Struthio camelus: one gene and its partner. The protein of the gene in region 2 purifies or fractionates together with the protein of the main gene of each other region. This does not show direct contact. Links are inferred from orthologs where the notes say so. Each region holds a gene or a part of one and is shown on either strand. Other genes may lie near its edges.

Region 1 (8,247 bases), on a different chromosome or scaffold from region 2:
TTGAGGTAGATGAGAACTGTGTTTCATCATTTCAAAACACTGCGTAAAATGGAGATTCAGGGCTAAGGAGAGAGTTTGCCTCAGTTACTTATTGTGATTTTAGTCCGGACTTGAACACAGAGCTTGCAAGCACTCACATGAATTGAATTGCATGGGAAGCTTACCAAAGGAAGTGTTTGCTTGTAAACTCAATATGAATAGGATCTTCTCTGACCGCAAGGGAAATGGAGAGACACTCATTCACTGGTCGCTTGTGCAATCAACTTCTGAAGTAAAAACAGGATTTGAGGTTTAAAACCTGAACCTTCACATATCTTTCAAGTAACAGAAGAAGCCTTCATGTGCTTTAGTCCATGAAGAAACAAAGTCAGGAGGTGCTGCTCATGAGACTCCTTGGATTTGATAACAACTGGCTTATCAAAAGGGAATTATTTAGTTTTCCTAGCAATAGCAAGCCTCAGAACAGTTTCTGTGAAGGCTTGAGGGGAGACGTCTGAACATCATTACATTTCAGTTTGTTTGATGTCCCTGCGTGCCTGTCATGCGTTCTATATCTTAACATTGAATCTGTCACTCAATTCCAGAATGTCTTAGTATGGTTGCATGTTTATCACGATGTGATTTTGTTGTAAAAAACATAACTTGTAAGCTCTTTTTATCACTGGGCCACACAATTGCACCTCAGACTTTTTCCACGCGGGTTGCTTTCACATAGCACTACGGTAGTAGATTATGGACTATTTGCTCGTTTTAAATGCTGGCTTTAAATCTACTAGTCGTTTAAATATCATGACATGGCTTGAGCTAACTTGTAAATACAGATATTTACTTTTCATCATTTGCCTGACAGTTAAATATTAGCTGAAATATTTGTGTGTGATGACTCTTCTCATCTGATAGCTAAAATGATGAGTTTTTAATTTCTTCCCATAGCAAGCAGCCAGTTTATTTATAAGTGGCCTAATCTAACACAGATTTACTCTGTGTATCCCATGAGACATATTATCAAAGTAACCAGACCTGTCCCAAGCACTTGGGAAGTGGGGAGATGGTTACACAATTCTCATTGCCTCTGGCTGTTCTAGTTAAAAAGATAAAGGGTCAGAGAACTGGAGCAGCAGAGATGATAATTTCGTGAGCATCTAAGGAAAAGCAGCTGATCAGATGCGGGCAGGCAGTGGCTGAGGGTGAGACGGGTAGATGCTTGAATACCACATAATAAAAATTCCCTTAAATAAAGTAATACATCAGGAAAAGGGAATGCAAAAAGCTTGTGAAAGCATGAGCAACTGAAAATATCTCCAGCTTCTTAAATCTTCATCTAGCAGGTGCGATAGCACTGCTTACCTGTTTTTAAAAAAGGAAAAAAAATATATATGAAAAGGAATATTCACCCTACCTTGCCATGGCTCTAGCCAATGTGTGCTGAGCAAGACCTTTCCCTCTGCTGGGATGCCTCAAAACTGTGACAGCCATCCCACAGGCTGTCACCTCTGCTCCAAACGCCAACTCCCTGCCTAGCAGTTGGGATTCCTGGAAGAGAGAAGACAGCAAGCAACCCTGATTGCTTCGATCATCCTTTTCCAAGGCAGGATCAGATTTATGGCCAGATTTTGCACCGTCCTTTGACTGCAAACTCCTTAGAATTCTTTAGCGTTTGGAAAGTGTCTGTTGCACGCAGATTAGTGATCCGTGTCCTCGAAGGCCAGGCCTGCCCCACCTTACTCCTACCCAGCCTGTATTTGAGCATCCAAGGCTGTGTGCTTGGTTCCTTGTAGTATGCGGGATTGTAGCTCATAGTGTTTCGTTTTTCTGGCACTTAGGTAACAAGACTCATGCACAGAGTCAGTATTTTATCCCAAAGTTAAGTCTATAAATGTAATTCTGCAATGATCTGTGCTTTGCAGTGTTTTACAGTGCTATCCATCTGAGATGCATGAGACCGCCTTGCTTCATTTGGAAGGGCTGGCTTTAAATCTACTAGTCGTTTAAATATCATGACATGGCTTGAGCTAACTTGTAAAATACAGATATTTACTTTTCATCATTTGCCTGACAGTTAAATATTAGCTGAAATATTTGTGTGTGACCTGTTTAGACTCAAATTCATCCCTGGCATAGCTGGGAACTGCCAGCACCAGTATTCATCTCCTCTTATAACCTATGGCAGCCCTCAGAAATATCCTTTTTTAACGCACAGCACCCTGTAAGAGAGCACAGATGCCCCATGGATCATCCCAAACCATCCCCCAAAATGCCTTCAGTCCCTGGGCTTCCTGGGAACCCGTTATAAAGGGGATCAGCTGGTACAAAAGGTATTCAGATGCAGTAGTAAATGCCCAGGGTACCTCTGAAGTCCTTGAAACAGTTGAAGATTAAAGATGCTATGGCTCATTGCTGGCTCCCTGAGCAGAGATGAATTTCTTTCTTCATGTATGCTAAGCAGGTAGCATGAGAAAAATCTTCCTGGGCAGGGGGGAGAGATGAAATGACGAAGGCTTGTGCAGGGAAAAGAAGGAAGATATCAGTGGCTTTTGATTTCAAGAGGAAACTAATGAGGGAGATACGCCTGGATATGCCTGGATGCTTAAAAGCCCGGGGAGCAATCTATAACACGTGACTGTTGTGGGAAGTGTGGTAGACTCATATTCTGCACTACTTTTCTAACACTAGAAAGCTACAAAAAGTTCTTCAGTTCTTCACACACCGCTCCCTTGAATTCCTCCTATGTCCTTTCTGCATTGCTTCGCAGTACAACCATAGCAAATCACTTCTTGTTGTGTTCTGCCACACGTGTTGGGAGGAATTAGCAGGGAGGGGGTGCTGCATGTGGACCTTTTCTGACAATCTGTACCCAAAACTTAAAACTGACAAGGCGAGCATCATTAATTTGATTAATGATTAAACCTTTCATGGCTACTATATATTTATTCATGATATTAATGCTCCGAGTACCCAAGAGCATGCTAAGCATTTTAAAGAAGCAGCGGCAGCTTCCTGCTGCAATGAACTGCCTCCGTTTTGCAAAGAGTTTAACCCTGGGAGATTTACGCCTCGGTTCACCTCAGCCACATTTAGGCAACAGAATTAGGAGCATGGTCCACCTAGGAGTCTGTACAGCCTGCTAGGAGAGGCCACCGAGCAGCACTTTGGGAGGGCCACACGGCTCTTGGGCAGTTGAATCACCTTTTTGCTGGCCCTGGAGGCATCTGTGGGGCTCCTTGCTGATGCCTGCACCCGTCCGGCGGGACACCTCCAGGGTGGCCAAGCCCAGCGTCCCAGGGAGAGCATGAGGAGGCGGCTGGCCTGGGGGGGGGGACAAGCCCACAGGCCGTCCTGGGCTGGGTGCGACATCGCGGCACCTGTGTGCTCCACTCTCCCTTGCACCTCTGGTTGATCTTTTAGGGGCACGGGATGAGCAGGGGGCTTTTGGCCATCTTAAGGACCAGCCTCAGGAATCGTCAGGCTCTCGGTGTCTCGAAGGCAGCGTGCGTGCAGGTGCTGGCGGCGCGGGGCCGGGTCGGGCGCGCCGAGGACTCCTGGGCTGGCCGTGGCCGGACGGGCACCAGGAGCCCTCCAGTGGGGCCAGAGGCCGAGGAGGTGAGGGACAAGACTTGTGATTTCTGCAAGTGGTTTCTCAGCACGGTCTGCTCCTTAAGACGTATCTGAGCTCACAGATACTTTGTGCTGGCCTATGAACGGGAAGAGAGGGACCATTTGGAGGGCCAGGACCAAAGGCACGTACATACTGCAGGTTCACCAGTTGGTGTTTACTTTAACGTCTTCACTTCCTGCGCATACGAAATCACCACACGAGTCTGAAGGACAAGTATGGTGAATGGTGTTATATGCTAATAACGCTGGTGAGTAAGGCTTTGTAGCTCCACTGTTATTTTGGTGAAGTGTCTAGACTATTACCCTGCCCCTAAAAAGCACTGACCCCCTTCTCATCCCCCGCCCCCAGTACGCTATCTCAGATGTAGCATGCAGCCTATTTATGCAAAATCCTACCAACTAAATTAAACCTGCAATGGTATCCAAATTGTAAAAAGTCCAGGAAGGGAAAAATAAAACAAAAGTCTGATGGATAATCAGGCATGTTTTATCTATGAAAGGGACAAAATGAAAGAGCATGCTTTGAGAGTTGAGGTGAATTGCTCAGAAGCAATCTGCAGACATTAATAGAATCACATTTCTGAAACAAAAAAAAAAAAAAAAGGAAAATGCAACCCCTGGGATATCCCTTTTTGGCATATGCATTTTGTGTTTAAATGCATTAATGGGACTGCTATGCTATGAGTCATCCAGCACAAGAGTTTCATATGTTTCTTAAAATACACTAGGAGTAGCTGAAGGCATGCACGGCTTTGCAGTGCAGTTATCTATCAGGAATCTCAGCAAATACCTGCTCTTCATGCAACCACAGGCTTGAGAAATGGAGGAACCCTATCTAGTCCTCTAACATCCTGCTGTTTAAACGCACTAGCGTGGTGGCATTCAAGATGCGATACAAAACCGATTCTGCAGCTTAGCAAAAGCCCAGGCTCCTTGTATTATTGTGCAAGCCTCAGTACTGAATTACAGAAAATTTGCATAGATGTAAATAGAAGAGCCGGGAGCAGTTTCCTTCTGAAGAACTGTCAGAATTACGGCTGACTCTATTTTTTTTCCAGCGATCGTTTGTTGTCTGTTTTCCTCTTGTTTTTCCTCCATTTACTAGCAACCCTGGCTGCAAACCGACTTGGTGTTCCCTCAAGCCTGCGCTTCCGAGCCTGCCCGCGGCTGCCCAGGCTGACCCTGCGCTTGGCAGGGCGCTCCCTCGGCTCGCTCTCCGTTCTGTTACCTTTCAGGACAGCGGATGCTTTAAAAACGGGCAACCCCCAAGGCGAAGCGTTGCTGACGGGGCGCAGAAATCCGCGCTCGTGAATGACCGACGGTAAATACGCACCAGCTTCGTGATGCAAACTGCGCGGTGAGCAATGGCTAATTAGCGACAAGTGACAAACAGGAACTGCTGGCGATGCCAGCAGCGAACAGCACGGCGCCGAGCGCGGCTGTGCCCGCTGTCTGTCCTGACAAGCAGCCTGGCTTGGCTGTGTTGTGTTTGCAGCCCCCAGAAGGGCGCAGCGGTGCTGTCCCGCGGGGAAGCGGGGCGCTACGGCAGCTGGCACCGTTCCCCAGCGGCACCCTTGCTGCCGCTTCCAGCACGGGCTTGCAAAACGCCAAAGCCGTGCTCCTCCTTTGCTGCCCGCGACTCCCGCTCTGCCCGACAGCGTGGGCGCCTCTGAGCCACGCTTCCCGCGTGGGCGCCAGGGGCACGCGGGGCTCGGGGCGCCCTGTCCCGGCAGCGCTGGAGCCAGCGCAGGTGCGAGACGCCCGGCGGGGCCGCGGCCAGCGCGACGGGGCGGGCAGCGGCGGCAGCGCCAGCCTCCGCCCCGGCCCCGGCCCACTTCCCCTTGCGTCAGGGCAGGGAGGAGGGGATAAACCTCGCTGCCTTTCTTTCCTTTTTTTTTTTTTTTTTAAAAGCCTCCAAGTACTTTAGCGCGGAGTCGGCGGCAGATGGTGGACACGGCCCGGGGCTGCGGCGGGGAGAGCGAGGCGATGCGCCAGCCGCCGCTCCGCGCCTGAGCCCCGCGTTGCGGCGGCAGCAGCAGCAGCAGCAGCAGCGGCGGCAGCAGCAGCAGCAGCAGCAGCCGCCGCCGCCGGCCCGACCCCGGCGCGGCCGGAGGCTCCGCTCCGCTCCGCGCCCGCTCCGCGCCCCCTCCATGAGCCGCCCGGCGCCGCCGCCGCCGCGCCGCGCCGCCGCGCTCCTCCTGCCGGCCGCCCGCTGCCGCAGCGCCCCGGCCAAGCGGCTGCCGCCGCTGCCCGACGGCCCCGCCGAGGAAGCGCCGGCCGCCAAGTGCCCGCGCCTCGCCGACTGCCCCGGCGGCGCCGCCGACTGCCTCAGCGCCCCCGGCTCGCCCTGCGCCCCGGCCTCGCCCGGCGGCGGCGGCGGCGGCGGCGGCGGGGCCGGGCCGAGCCTCATCGCCTCCTACCTGCTGCTGCCGCTGGCCGAGCGCGAGCAGGTGTCGCGGGCGCTGAGCGTCAGCTCCGGCCGCGAGCTGCGCTGCAAGGTGAGCGCGGCGCTGCGCGGGCGCGCGGCTTCCTCCCCCACCACGCCGGGCGGCGGCGGGCTTGCGGGTGGCCGGGCGCGGGGCGCGGGGCGCGGAGCAGCCCCGGCGACACTGGCCGGGGCAGCCGGGCGGCGCCGCGGAGCCCTCGCAGAACACCCTCCCGCTGCTGCCCGCTTCCACCGGCGGCCAAATCCGGCTGCCCTCGGCGGGCGTTTGCCAGCGCGGAAAATAAGCTCCGGCTGTGGATTACCTTAGAGTACCTGAAAGGCTCTTGGTGGATATTAAAGGCTTTGGGTGGTGCTCCCCCGCCCAACATAAAGTTAACAGTGCTTTAATAGCCTTGGAAGGGGTCTCGGGAACAGCTTTGCTGCTGAGCGTTGGCGCTTTTCCAGCTCCCTCATCATTGTTTGGGGCGAGTTGCTACGAGAGAGGCCGGTTTCAACGCCTTGACAATGAATTTCGCTTTACTTTCCTCCTTACAGGTGTTCCCTCTCAAACACTACCAGGACAAGATCCGGCCTTACATTCAGCTGCCGTCACACAGGAACATCACCGGGGTCGTAGAAGTGATCCTCGGAGACACCAAGGCCTATGTCTTCTTCGAAAAGGACTTTGGGGACATGCACTCCTATGTGAGGAGCTGCAAAAGGCTGCGGGAAGAGGAAGCCGCCCGGCTTTTCAAGCAGATCGTCTCAGCTGTAGCTCACTGCCACCAGTCGGCCATCGTACTTGGTGACCTCAAGCTCAGGAAATTTGTCTTTTCTAATGAAGAAAGGTAAGCCCTTACCGCCTGCCAGCCTCTGGGAGGGAGCGCTAGGGAGAACTGCCGCACTGAGAAATGCCATGTTTTTAGGCAAAAAGTATTCCAGGGAGTGGAAATCTCCAGGTAAACCAGGCGTCACCTACAAGATCCGAGTACGTCCATGTTACGTATATTTAATAAGTCACGGATCTAATTGGTCCGCGCTTATTTTCAGTCCGATCTTGACTGATGAAGCTGAGGAAACTCAGCGTCAGCCTGCACTCATTCACTAAAAGTTTGACGAAACCCTTTGGTGGAAAAAGGGATGATCGTGCGAGCGCTCCTTAGCGCCAGATGTCCAAATATATATCATCCGTGCAATGCGTTCGACAAGAAATGACTAAAAGGCACAGACCGCGGGCGAAAGGAGGCTCAGGCACTAGGCACGCGAAAGGGATAACAGCTCTGCTCTGGCAGCAGGAAGAGGGAGGAATCCCCGTTCCCGGGGAGAGCCCCATGGCCCTGCCAGCTGCCCCTGGTGGTTCCCCCCCCCCCCGGCACCTTTCAGCGCCGAGAGAGGAGCCACCAGCAAGGGTCTTCTCTGATAGCTTCTTATCAGAGTTGTGTTTCTAAGGATAGATTTGCTGTGCCCTTTGAAGCTTTTCTCTCTCTCATCCCTGCCAGCGGTGACGTTGATGGTTTCTGCACCCCACGTACACGTGGACGTGGGCACGCACAGGAGCGAGGGTGTTACATGGTTAAATCTGACTTTGGGAATTCTTCTCTAAGGGGGGGAAAAAAAAACCCCACAAAGCAACACCTTGATAAAACTTAGCCTAAAGCATAGGTTTATAGAGAGATGATTCTAAGCCGATTCTAATAGGAATACTTTCACAATTACTTTTTAATTTTAGATGAGGGAGTTAGTTCACATTTCCCGGGTGTGTTTGCTGCTCTCGAGATCCATCACTAGCACGGCAGAGCCAGAAATGTATTTTAATAAGCAAAACTGACATTGATTAGGTGCTTATCCCATTGACGGCTATAATAAGCAAGAGCTTTAACGGAGTTGTGCTTAGTCTGATGAAACCTGAAGTGTTATTAGTGAAGCAGAGAAAAGTGTATTTTTTTGAACTCGGCTGATACTCCTTGAAGATGCAGCGTACGAACATGATAAGAAAATGAACTAGAACTGCCCCTCTGACACAGAAACAACCATATGTTGTCATGCAAAGAAAGTAATTCCTTTGAAGGAAGCTATTGCAGCTTTTCCCGCCCATAATGAGGTGAAACATTTGTTGAAATGTTAGATTGCACACAGTCTCGCTAATTTGGAAATATGCATTGCACAGGCTAATGTCATGTGCATCAAATTTGGCAACAAGAGGGTTA
Region 2 (8,977 bases):
TTTTTTCTCACTAGGTACAGTGTTAGCCGGCCAGTAGAGACACACATGGCAGGATCATCCAAAAGCTTGGCATCCCATGCAAAGGTCAGTGTTCTCAGTCTATAAATTCAACCAACCATTTTAAATGTGTAACTGATATAATTATGACTTACCTGCACTATCTCCACCATTAAAAATACAGAAATATATTTACATCACTTTGAAAAATATTTATCTAATATGAGAAATGACCAAACTATTGCAGTCCTCATTTTCCTGTTAATCTGGCCATTTAACCCATTACTGTTTTTTACAGGAGAATACAGCCCCTAATCCTCTTGCCAAAGAAGAGATGAACTTTTTGGCCAGGCTAATAGGAGTTCTGGAGATCAAGAAACCTGGTGGCAATGAGACAGGATTTCGACTAAACTTGTTCACGACAGACGAGGAGGAAGAGTATGCTCGAGTTGTGCTTGGTTGGGGTTTGTGATTTAGTCCCATGTGGACAGTCCTGGAGACTGAAGCTGAGCCTTAACAGCCTTAGGGACAGAATAAGCAGTCTTTGTAGTATCTCCTTATCCTGGTGCAGATAGTCCCTGAAGGAACACAAGGAACAGCAGTTTCCCTGGCTTGACCTTTTTTTTGGGACTAGCAGCAAGGAGACGCATTTGCGTTACTGGTGTTTCACTTGTGATGCAAGCTCTTGTCCTTGGGACTGCTTGTCCCTTGAAGTGAGACTGGCAGATCACCAGTCTGTGACCATCTGTGCTTAGGTCCTGTCACACAGAACTGAAACAACGTACATCCCTTCAGCTCCTTTAGCTCTCCCATCCCCCAAATGAATACATACTTATCTCCTGAAATATACATATCTTAACAATTGATCAGTGGTGATAAGCCTAACAGGCTTGACTACCTTAGCTGCTTCCTAGCAGGGAGCAAAAGGGTAATGAGACATTTCATTATTTGATTTCTGCAGAATTTTTTTTGCAGAAATTTTTGCAGATTTGTTTTATTTGCAACTAAAGAGAGACTCTCACTGTTCTACAGCTAGCATAAGAAATCCAAGACAGGGATAAGACTGCAAACTGGGATTAATGTATTAATTTGCCTAGTAAAAATAGCAAAGTTGTCTAAACTTCATGTCCACAGCAGCCTCATGAATCTGATTCTGTTTTCATCACTTACTGGTATGTCATCGTGAGATTAAGCACTTTTTTCATGTTTTCAATCAAGGCACGCAGCATTGACTAGACCAGAGGAGTTATCTTACAAAGTTATCAACATAGAAGCCACTCAGGTATGTACGGTGTATTTCTGATCTTTTGATTCTAATCGTTCTTTCCTTGCTAAGAACTGAGTTTTACCTGTGGTAGTGACTTAAAAATATATAGATGTGTTGTGTTCAAATTCAGTTAAGCTCGTGATAAGTAATGGAAATATAGTCTACTAAGTTTGTAGATATAGTAATTACTGAGTAATAGAACTTGAAATATTTGAATATTTCAAATATTTGAATTCCAAATATTTGCAGCTTTCTCACTTATTAGAACAAGTTTTAAGACCAGATGGACTAGAGAACGCATACCGGATCATGCCTAATGCCTGTAAACCCTTAAATCACCTCCTTAATTTTAACAGGCAATTGGGCATCTCTGAATAGGGCTGCAATACTGTGGTACTTTTACAGGGGAGAATCCCAGCCGGTGTCAGGAACACAGGCGGGAGCACCGTCAGCCCAGGAGAGGCAGTTGTCGGCAGATTAACGGGGGGAGCAGTACCCCTGCGCTCGCTTGTGGCACGCCGGGGCTGCGGGGGCCGGGGGCGCAGGCTGAGGCTGTCTCTCTCCGCGCAGGACCCGGGGCGGCAGGAGGAGCTGGCCCGCATCCTGGGGGAGCTGGAGGTGGCGGAGCAGCGCCCGGCCAGCACGGCCAAAGGCGAGGACCTGCTGGCGCTCATGGACGGGCTCTGACCGCCCGCCGCACCATTAAATACGCTGTTCCCAGCCTGGCACCGAGCGAGAGTCCGGGGCCGGGGGCGGGCGGGCGGCGCCGGGGCCGGGGGCGGGCGGGCGGCGCTCGGGGGCGGGCGGCTCCGGGGCGGTTCGGGGGCCGGGGCCGCACTGCGCACGCGGCCGCTCCGCGCCGCCCCTTCCTGCCGCCGGGCCGCGCGGGTGAGTGTGCCGGGGAGGAGGGAAGCACATGCACGCGAGCGTGCAAGGGGGGGCGGGCAGCGTGCACGCCCGTGTGCGCGGGGATCCAAGCGGCGCGTGGCCGCGGGAGAGGGGCAGCGGGCGGGTGGGTGTGCGGGGGGGCGCCTGCAGAGCGAGAGTGCGAGCAGCGGGAGTGGGCGTGCGGGTGAGCGTGCAAGAGGAGGAAGACAGTTTGTACGTGCGTGTGCAAGGAGAGGAGGGCGGTGTGCACCTATGTGCGTGTGCAAGGGGAGAGGGGGTGGTATGTACACCAGTGTGCAAGGGGAGGAGTGTGAAAGCATGCAAGGGAGATGCAGTGCATTTCTTTGGTGGCTGCACCGCAGCATGTGCCCCGGGACACAGAGTCTGGCTGACCTGCCCCTGGGGGAGCGGGCAGTGGGGCAGGCAGGTGCTGGTCAGAGCGCTGCATGGCGTCTCCTGTTCCTCTGCTACAGCGGCGCGATGGAGGTCAGCCACTCTGTCAAGGAGCGCACCATTGCCGAGAACAGTCTGGTCATCCTTCTGCAGGGCCTGCACGGCCATGTCACCACTGTGGACCTCCGTGATGAGAGCACAGCCACTGGGCGCATCACCAACGTGGACGCCTTCATGAACGTGCGCCTGTCTGAGGTGACCTTCACAGACAGGCAGGGCACAGTGTCCCACCTGGATGAGCTCTTTATAACCGGCAGGAACGTCCGCTATGTTCACATCCCCGACGAGGTGGACATCAGGGCCACCATCGAGCGTCAGCTGCAGGCAATCCACAGGATCCGCTATTTTGGAGGCCGTGACAAGGGCAGGAAGGAGTTCCCTCGAGCGAGGCACAAGTGATCCTTCCTGGTGCTGCCGTATCTCCAGCTCCAGCACGGACCCTGGCGCCACGTGCACGGGAAGGCAAGGACAGGTGTGTCCCCTCTTGACAGGACACTGGGACTTTCTGCCAGCTGCCTCCACACCTTGCCCTGGGCATCCCTCCCAGGGACACAGGGCTCTGCTTCTCCCCTGGCTGGTGCCTATGGGAGAGCGGGGGGATCCTCAGTGCGAGGTTATTTTTTTAATGAATAACCCTGCTTTAAAGGATCTGTGATTTCTCTTTTTTTTTTTTTTTTTTTCCAGCTCATTTCCTGTTTGCTTGGCAGCTACTCTGTATCCCTTCTCTCACTGCTCACCATTCTTCTCAAACAAAGCCCTTTTGGTCAGAAGCCACAGTTTGGTGTTATTGCTTGGCTGTGGTCTCCCACAGGCATCCTACTGCTCTCACAGCTTTGCCTTCCTGGCTAGTGGAGACTGGGACCCCACTGCTATGGGTACCTCTGTCCGCAGGAGATTGAGCGCTGTGGAAAGGGGGTCAGGAGGAGATGGAGGCCATGAGACAGCCTGGGCACTCACGAGCCGCAAAGCTGGCAAATTGAACACAAGGTGCTGGTGTGCATCATGCTTGTTGGCTACAGCTCCCCAGGTGGCTTTCTCGGATGCCCACGGGTGTCTAGCTTCACTCCTCCTACAGCCCTGATGGGCATTTGCACCCGTGGCCAAAACAGGTGCGTGACAGAGGGGAAGGGGCAGTGCTGTTCTGCATGGACAAGTGCAAAGGTGCAGGGATTGCTCTGCTCAGGGTCCTGGGAAGAGGAAGCTGTGCTCAAAGCCTAGCGCGTGGCAGCAGGAGGATGAGGAGGGCTCCCTCGTGTCTGCATGGGCTCTTCCTGCTGCTGGAGCCAGGCACGTGCTGGTCCCCAGGCAGCAGATGTGTCAAGGGCAGACACCCAGGAGTTGGCAGTCACTGCCCCTAGGTGTGTTGCTGGAGTCAGACAAGCCCTGGATGGCTCTTTTGGCCGGGCAGGAAGGAGTCACAGACCTGGCTCGTGTTGGCAGAGGGTGATTGGCAACAGTGAAAGGAATGGGAATGAAATGGGTTTTTATGATTCACAGGTCTATGTTATCACCGAGGACACAGCAAATGCTACCGCTGCCAGCTCCTCTGCTTCCTCACTCCTCCATAAGTCTTCCCCAGCCCACTGAGAGTCTGCCTAAAACATTGCCAGAGTCAACAGATGACTTCATCCTATTTGGTACAGGCATCTCTTTGTTACCCAGTGCTGCCTGGCCATCTCCGAGATGGAGCTCGGTGGCGGTTGCCCTGCGTGTGTGTGTGTGCGTGCAGCTCTGTTCTTGGGCATGGGCATCCCTCCTGGCTTGCTGGAGTGGCTGCAGTGCTGGGGGCAGAGCAGGGACCCCAAGGAGTCGGAGGTGAAGCTTGTACCCCACCGTCCCCTGAAGTGCCGGTCAGGTGGAGATCAGGAGCGACTATGGGTGAGGAACAGAACCTGGGCACAGCGAGGGATGATGACCCTGCGCCGGGGGGCGGGGAAAGGGGCTCCTGGTGACCCACCAGACCTCCACACAGGCCGCCTGGGCCGCCCCAGCTGGGAAGACGGCTTGGAGTGGTTTTTGCGTGGGCTTGAGCGAGGCGGTTTGAAAAGGGAGCTTTCGGCGACCCGCCCCAGAGGCAACGAAGCCTGGGGGGGCCCCCGCCTGCAGCGGGCGCAGGAGGCCTGCTCACTCCTCCGGCTCAGCTGGTCGGGGCAGCGGCGTGGCATGACTCGCCCCCCCTGACCCGGAGGTATCCCAGGGGGCCGGGCCCCCGCGCGAGGGGCAGAGGGGTTCCCTTCCCCTGAGCCCCCGCAGGGCCGCGGCCCTGGCGCTGATTCACGGGGCGGGGAGGGCCGGGCCGGGCCGGGCCTTGCGCAAGCGGCGGAGGCAGCGGGCCGGCCGCTCCGGGCCCTGACTCAGCCCGGCCCCGGGCTCGGGGCGGCTGCTGCGGCCTGCTCTGGGGGTGGGGCTGGGGCCCGGGGGCGGGGCTCCCTGGAAAGCCCCCGGCTCTCCCCCAATCACGGCGGTTTCGAATCTCCCGCCTGCCCACCAACCCGCTTCCCATCCACGGCCTGCCGCAGCGGCAGCCAATCAGCAGAGGGAGCCGCGCTGCTCCGGCCAATGAGGCTCCGCTGTTCGCCTCCTCCCGCCTCGCCTCCGGGAGTCAGCCAATCAGATCCTGCCGCCTCGCCGATCCCCTCCCGCCTCACCTGAGCTCTCCGCCAATGGCGGCCGGCGCCAGCTCCCCGGGCCAGCCAGAGGCGCGCCGTCCCCGCCGCCATCTCCGCGGCGGCCGCCAGGAGGCAGGATGGCGGCCGGCGAGGGGCGGGGCGGGGGGGAGAAGGCGGTGCGTCACTTCCGTCGTCAGGTGGCCGCCGCCGCGGAGCGGAGCGGAGGCCGCGGCCGGGCGTGGGGCTGCGGGAGGCGCCGGCGGCCGCGCCGGCCCCGGGGCCATGGGTGAGCAGGGCCGGGGGGGGGGGTCGGGCCTCTCGCTTCGGGGTCTTCCTGCTGCTGGGCCGCGCTCCGCCTTCCCGGGGTGGGGGGGCGGCGCGGCGCTGCTCGCCCGGCTCCTCAGGGGTCGCTGGCCGGCGGCGGCGGCTGGGGGCAGGCGGCTCGTCCCGCGCGGGTCCGCGCCCGCGGGTGCTCGGCGCCCGGTGAAGAGCCCTGGGCGGTTCGCCGCCCTCCGGGAGCCGGAGCTGCCCCCCCCCCCCCGGCTGTCTCTGGGGGTCTCCGCGCGGCCCGGCGGCTGCCCCTCTTGTCGCGGCAGCCCTGCCGCTGCCTAGCCCGCTGCCGCCTCTTCACCGGTCAGGTGTTAGCCGTGGCGTAGTGCGGCGTGCTTATGCAGTTAGGCTGAAAAAGTCGGTTAACGAAGCTCCTTTTGGGTTTTTTTTTCCCTCCTGTCGATAACGGTAGCATGGTTAGGGGGTTTTTTATTTTGTTGACAGCGCCTAACTCAACTCTCCTGGCAGCACAGCGATAGGTTGCGAGCGTGCTGGGGGGCCAGCGGCTCCTGTCTGGTGCCGGCTGTGTTTTCAGGCTGGGTGACAACGTCTGAAGTTAGTTGCTTGGGGAGAAGGCAGTCTGGGGTGCTCCCAGCAGTAACTGGCTGAAGGCTGTAGCTCTAAGTAAGAACGAATAGGACCATAAATTATTAAAGTTGGAGCTAGCTACAGAAACTTGTCCTGTCTCCTCTGTGTTATTCCCTTAATTCATTTGAATAAAGTAATAAGGAATGCTTTAAATTTCTTCTGCTTTAAATTATCTAAGAAGATAATTTAAATTATCTTCTTTCTTCTTCTTGTTAGTTGCTTTTCTTTTCTTTTTTTTTTTTTTTTGACAGTGGCCTTTGAAAGTTAGAGTTCAGTTAAAATCCTTTCTTGCCGCGCCATGCGAAGGTATTAAAGGTCCCGCGTTTTACTGTTGGAATGAGCCCGTGGAGCCTCGTCTTTGCCCCACTGCCCATCTCTCTGGACATAAGGGCCTTCTAGACTTGTTTTTATTTTGGCCAGTTACTCCTTCCTCCTGTCATCCTGTCCACTGTGTTATCTGTTCACTGGGTCTGGTTGTGAATATGGATGAGCTGTGCTGGTTATAGATTCCTTACATGCTGAAAGCAGGTAAGGGAGCTGCATTTTCTAGTACTGCAGTTTATTTGCATTTGCAGCAATATGCTGTCCTAAATTTGGGAATTAAGTAATTTCTGAAAAAATTCCAACACCCTCTAAGCTTGAAGTTGGCTTTCTTAAGCCTTTGTTTTTTCTTTTACTGGCTTAGAGTCTTAATATATAGGCTTACCATACACTGCTGTTTGACAGCGTGCATAGGTGCGCTCGGCATTTGATTGCATTCAGGCTGTAGTCTCAGCTATAGCCCGGTGTCAGAAAGGAGGTAATGAAGTAGGAGTGAGTGTTGGAGCTGAGATTACTCAGCAGAGGCTAGTGCAGAGTATGGTGGGGCTAAGCAATCTGGGTCTCAAACTCCTTCCTGCTGCAGGGGGAATAGGATCTCTCCATGGCAGAAGGGATGTTAGTTGAGTGCTCCAGCTCATACGGAGCTCGGGTAAAAGAGCAGACTGGCAGTGTGCACGTAGCAGAGGTGAAGTTTAACCTGAGGGACGGGGCAGATCCATGGTGCATAGGTAAGATTTAGACCAAGAAAAATCAATGGTATCATTTTGTGCCAAGTCCCTTATTCCTTGAAATAAAAAGGGTGTTTGTGTACTACAAAGTCTTTGGCTTTGTGCCTGTGCCCAGTCTGATCTAGTTTTCATCATTCCTGCAGTCAGCAAAGACCTGATGACCTGAATTTTGTCATTGTAGCTAAAGCCTCATCAGCAGCCCTGGCTAGATAGCAGCGATGAAATCCAGTGCGCTGAATAACACGGGCAGGTTGGTTCTCACTGCCCCATTAGCTCTAGCTAATGGTGCTGATGGCCTGTTTTGTGTGGGGGGACTTGTCTATTTGTTCACAAAACCGTGTATCCTGCTAGTTGACGGGTTTCAGCAGCTGCTGGAGCAGGACTCAGGTGTGTTGACAAAAGTAGGGCTAGTTTCTGGTATGTTCTCCTGAAGGGCTTCTGCTAAGATCCTTTTAGCGAAAAGTCCCCAGTCGGTACCATTTGGGATGAAGGAAGTGTTTCCCTGATGCTGGAGTGTTTTGCTACATCCTTTTATTGTTTCTCTGTGGCATCTGCACTGATGATTTGGTCACATAATCACATTACTTAAAAGCACCCTCATGTTCAGCTGCCTTTTATCCTCAGGATATTGCAGAATCATCTCCTTTTAAAACCACACAGAGGGAAGCCTTGTAGCCACTTAGCTGCTGTTTGATTAAGGACAACCCTATTGATTTTGCCTGAACTGCCTGTTGCATTTAGTCTAATAAGGGAAGTGTTATCTGCATTTGCAGAAATTTGATGGTGCTCTGGATTTCTGCGTTTTGTGCCTCACTCTTGCCTGTGAGCTCTCCAGCTAGGAGCTCTTGCTAGACTGGAGGAAGCTCTGTGCCTATTGTAATTTTCCATATGAAATATTCTCTTCTTGTCAGTGGGGTAAATTCCTTTTTGGTCTTGTGGTATTTATATCAAATGTGCTTTTATGACATATATGGTAGTATGAATTAACCATCTAGATAACTTGAAGTATTTGTTTCTGTGTCGTTAGGGCCTTAAGAGTAAACTATATTAAAAACAGCAAGCATGTCTCACCATAAAGAAAATGTGTCAGCATGTGCATGAGTCATGCAATAATCTTTGTGCATGTGAAGCAAGTCCTGCTGCACTGAACTTATGGAGCACTAAATATACACAGTAACTTAAGCTATAAATGAAAAATAAAATCTAGTGCAATGAATATCTTACCTGATGGTGATTTTAAAGCTAATGACTACATAACTTCATGGGAGCTCTGTGTGCACTGCAGTCCAAGGTCAAGAACTCTATATGTCATGATCTGCTATTGAAAGAGCAGCGTAGTCTTTTTCTGGTATTTCCAGAATGCCAAAGTTTCATTTTTCAGTTCTTGTCCTGTGTTGTGTCATGCTCTAGTTGGCCTCTGCAGTGAAACATTAGGCCCTTCTGGGAGCATTGTTCTCTTTTTTGTGGTGACTGGAAAGCCTTACAGATGTGTCCCGTGCTTCAGCATGAAAGGGTTAAGCTTAAGTTGGTGATTATGTAATCAAATAGGGAACTCCCAGAGATGAGTCCTTGGCTATCTAATGTGTTGATGTATCAGAAGAGTTTAAAGAAAGACTAGGTTGTTGCGTATTTGTGCTGTAATTACATTACTGGAATCCTGTGCTTCAGAATTTCCCCTGCCTGCCTGTGGGGCCAGAAAGGAATTTTCTTTCCTTGATGCATTGTTTGGTCTCTGGAAGTCTTTTGTCTCTGAAAAGTTGGAGTTTGGCTGCAGATGGACATGGGATGTAGGCAAG

The links.
Region 1: the proteins of STK40 (region 2) and TRIB1 purify together in Homo sapiens (affinity purification with mass spectrometry; 3 studies listed by BioGRID and IntAct, counting the BioPlex papers as one, with this or other methods). This does not show direct contact. The link is inferred for Struthio camelus from reciprocal best matches to the Homo sapiens genes STK40 and TRIB1.

Annotation. Positions count from the first base shown.
Region 1 is NC_090943.1:161,116,582-161,124,828, forward strand, and holds the start of TRIB1 (tribbles homolog 1), read left to right. Parts: upstream 1-4,855; 5' UTR 4,856-4,926; coding exon 4,927-4,936; intron 4,937-5,526; coding exon 5,527-6,113; exon of another isoform or gene 6,114-6,149; intron 6,150-6,595; coding exon 6,596-6,888; intron 6,889-8,247. UniProt on the Homo sapiens protein: Adapter protein involved in protein degradation by interacting with COP1 ubiquitin ligase. The COP1-binding motif is masked by autoinhibitory interactions with the protein kinase domain.
Region 2 is NC_090964.1:10,309,534-10,318,510, reverse strand, and holds the start of STK40 (serine/threonine-protein kinase 40), read left to right. Parts: upstream 1-5,336; 5' UTR 5,337-5,351; coding exon 5,352-5,500; intron 5,501-8,940; exon of another isoform or gene 8,941-8,955; coding exon of another isoform or gene 8,956-8,977. Other genes in the region: protein OSCP1, read left to right, coding at 15-84, 296-435, 1,216-1,279, 1,835-1,951; U7 snRNA-associated Sm-like protein LSm10, read left to right, coding at 2,633-3,004. UniProt on the Homo sapiens protein: May be a negative regulator of NF-kappa-B and p53-mediated gene transcription.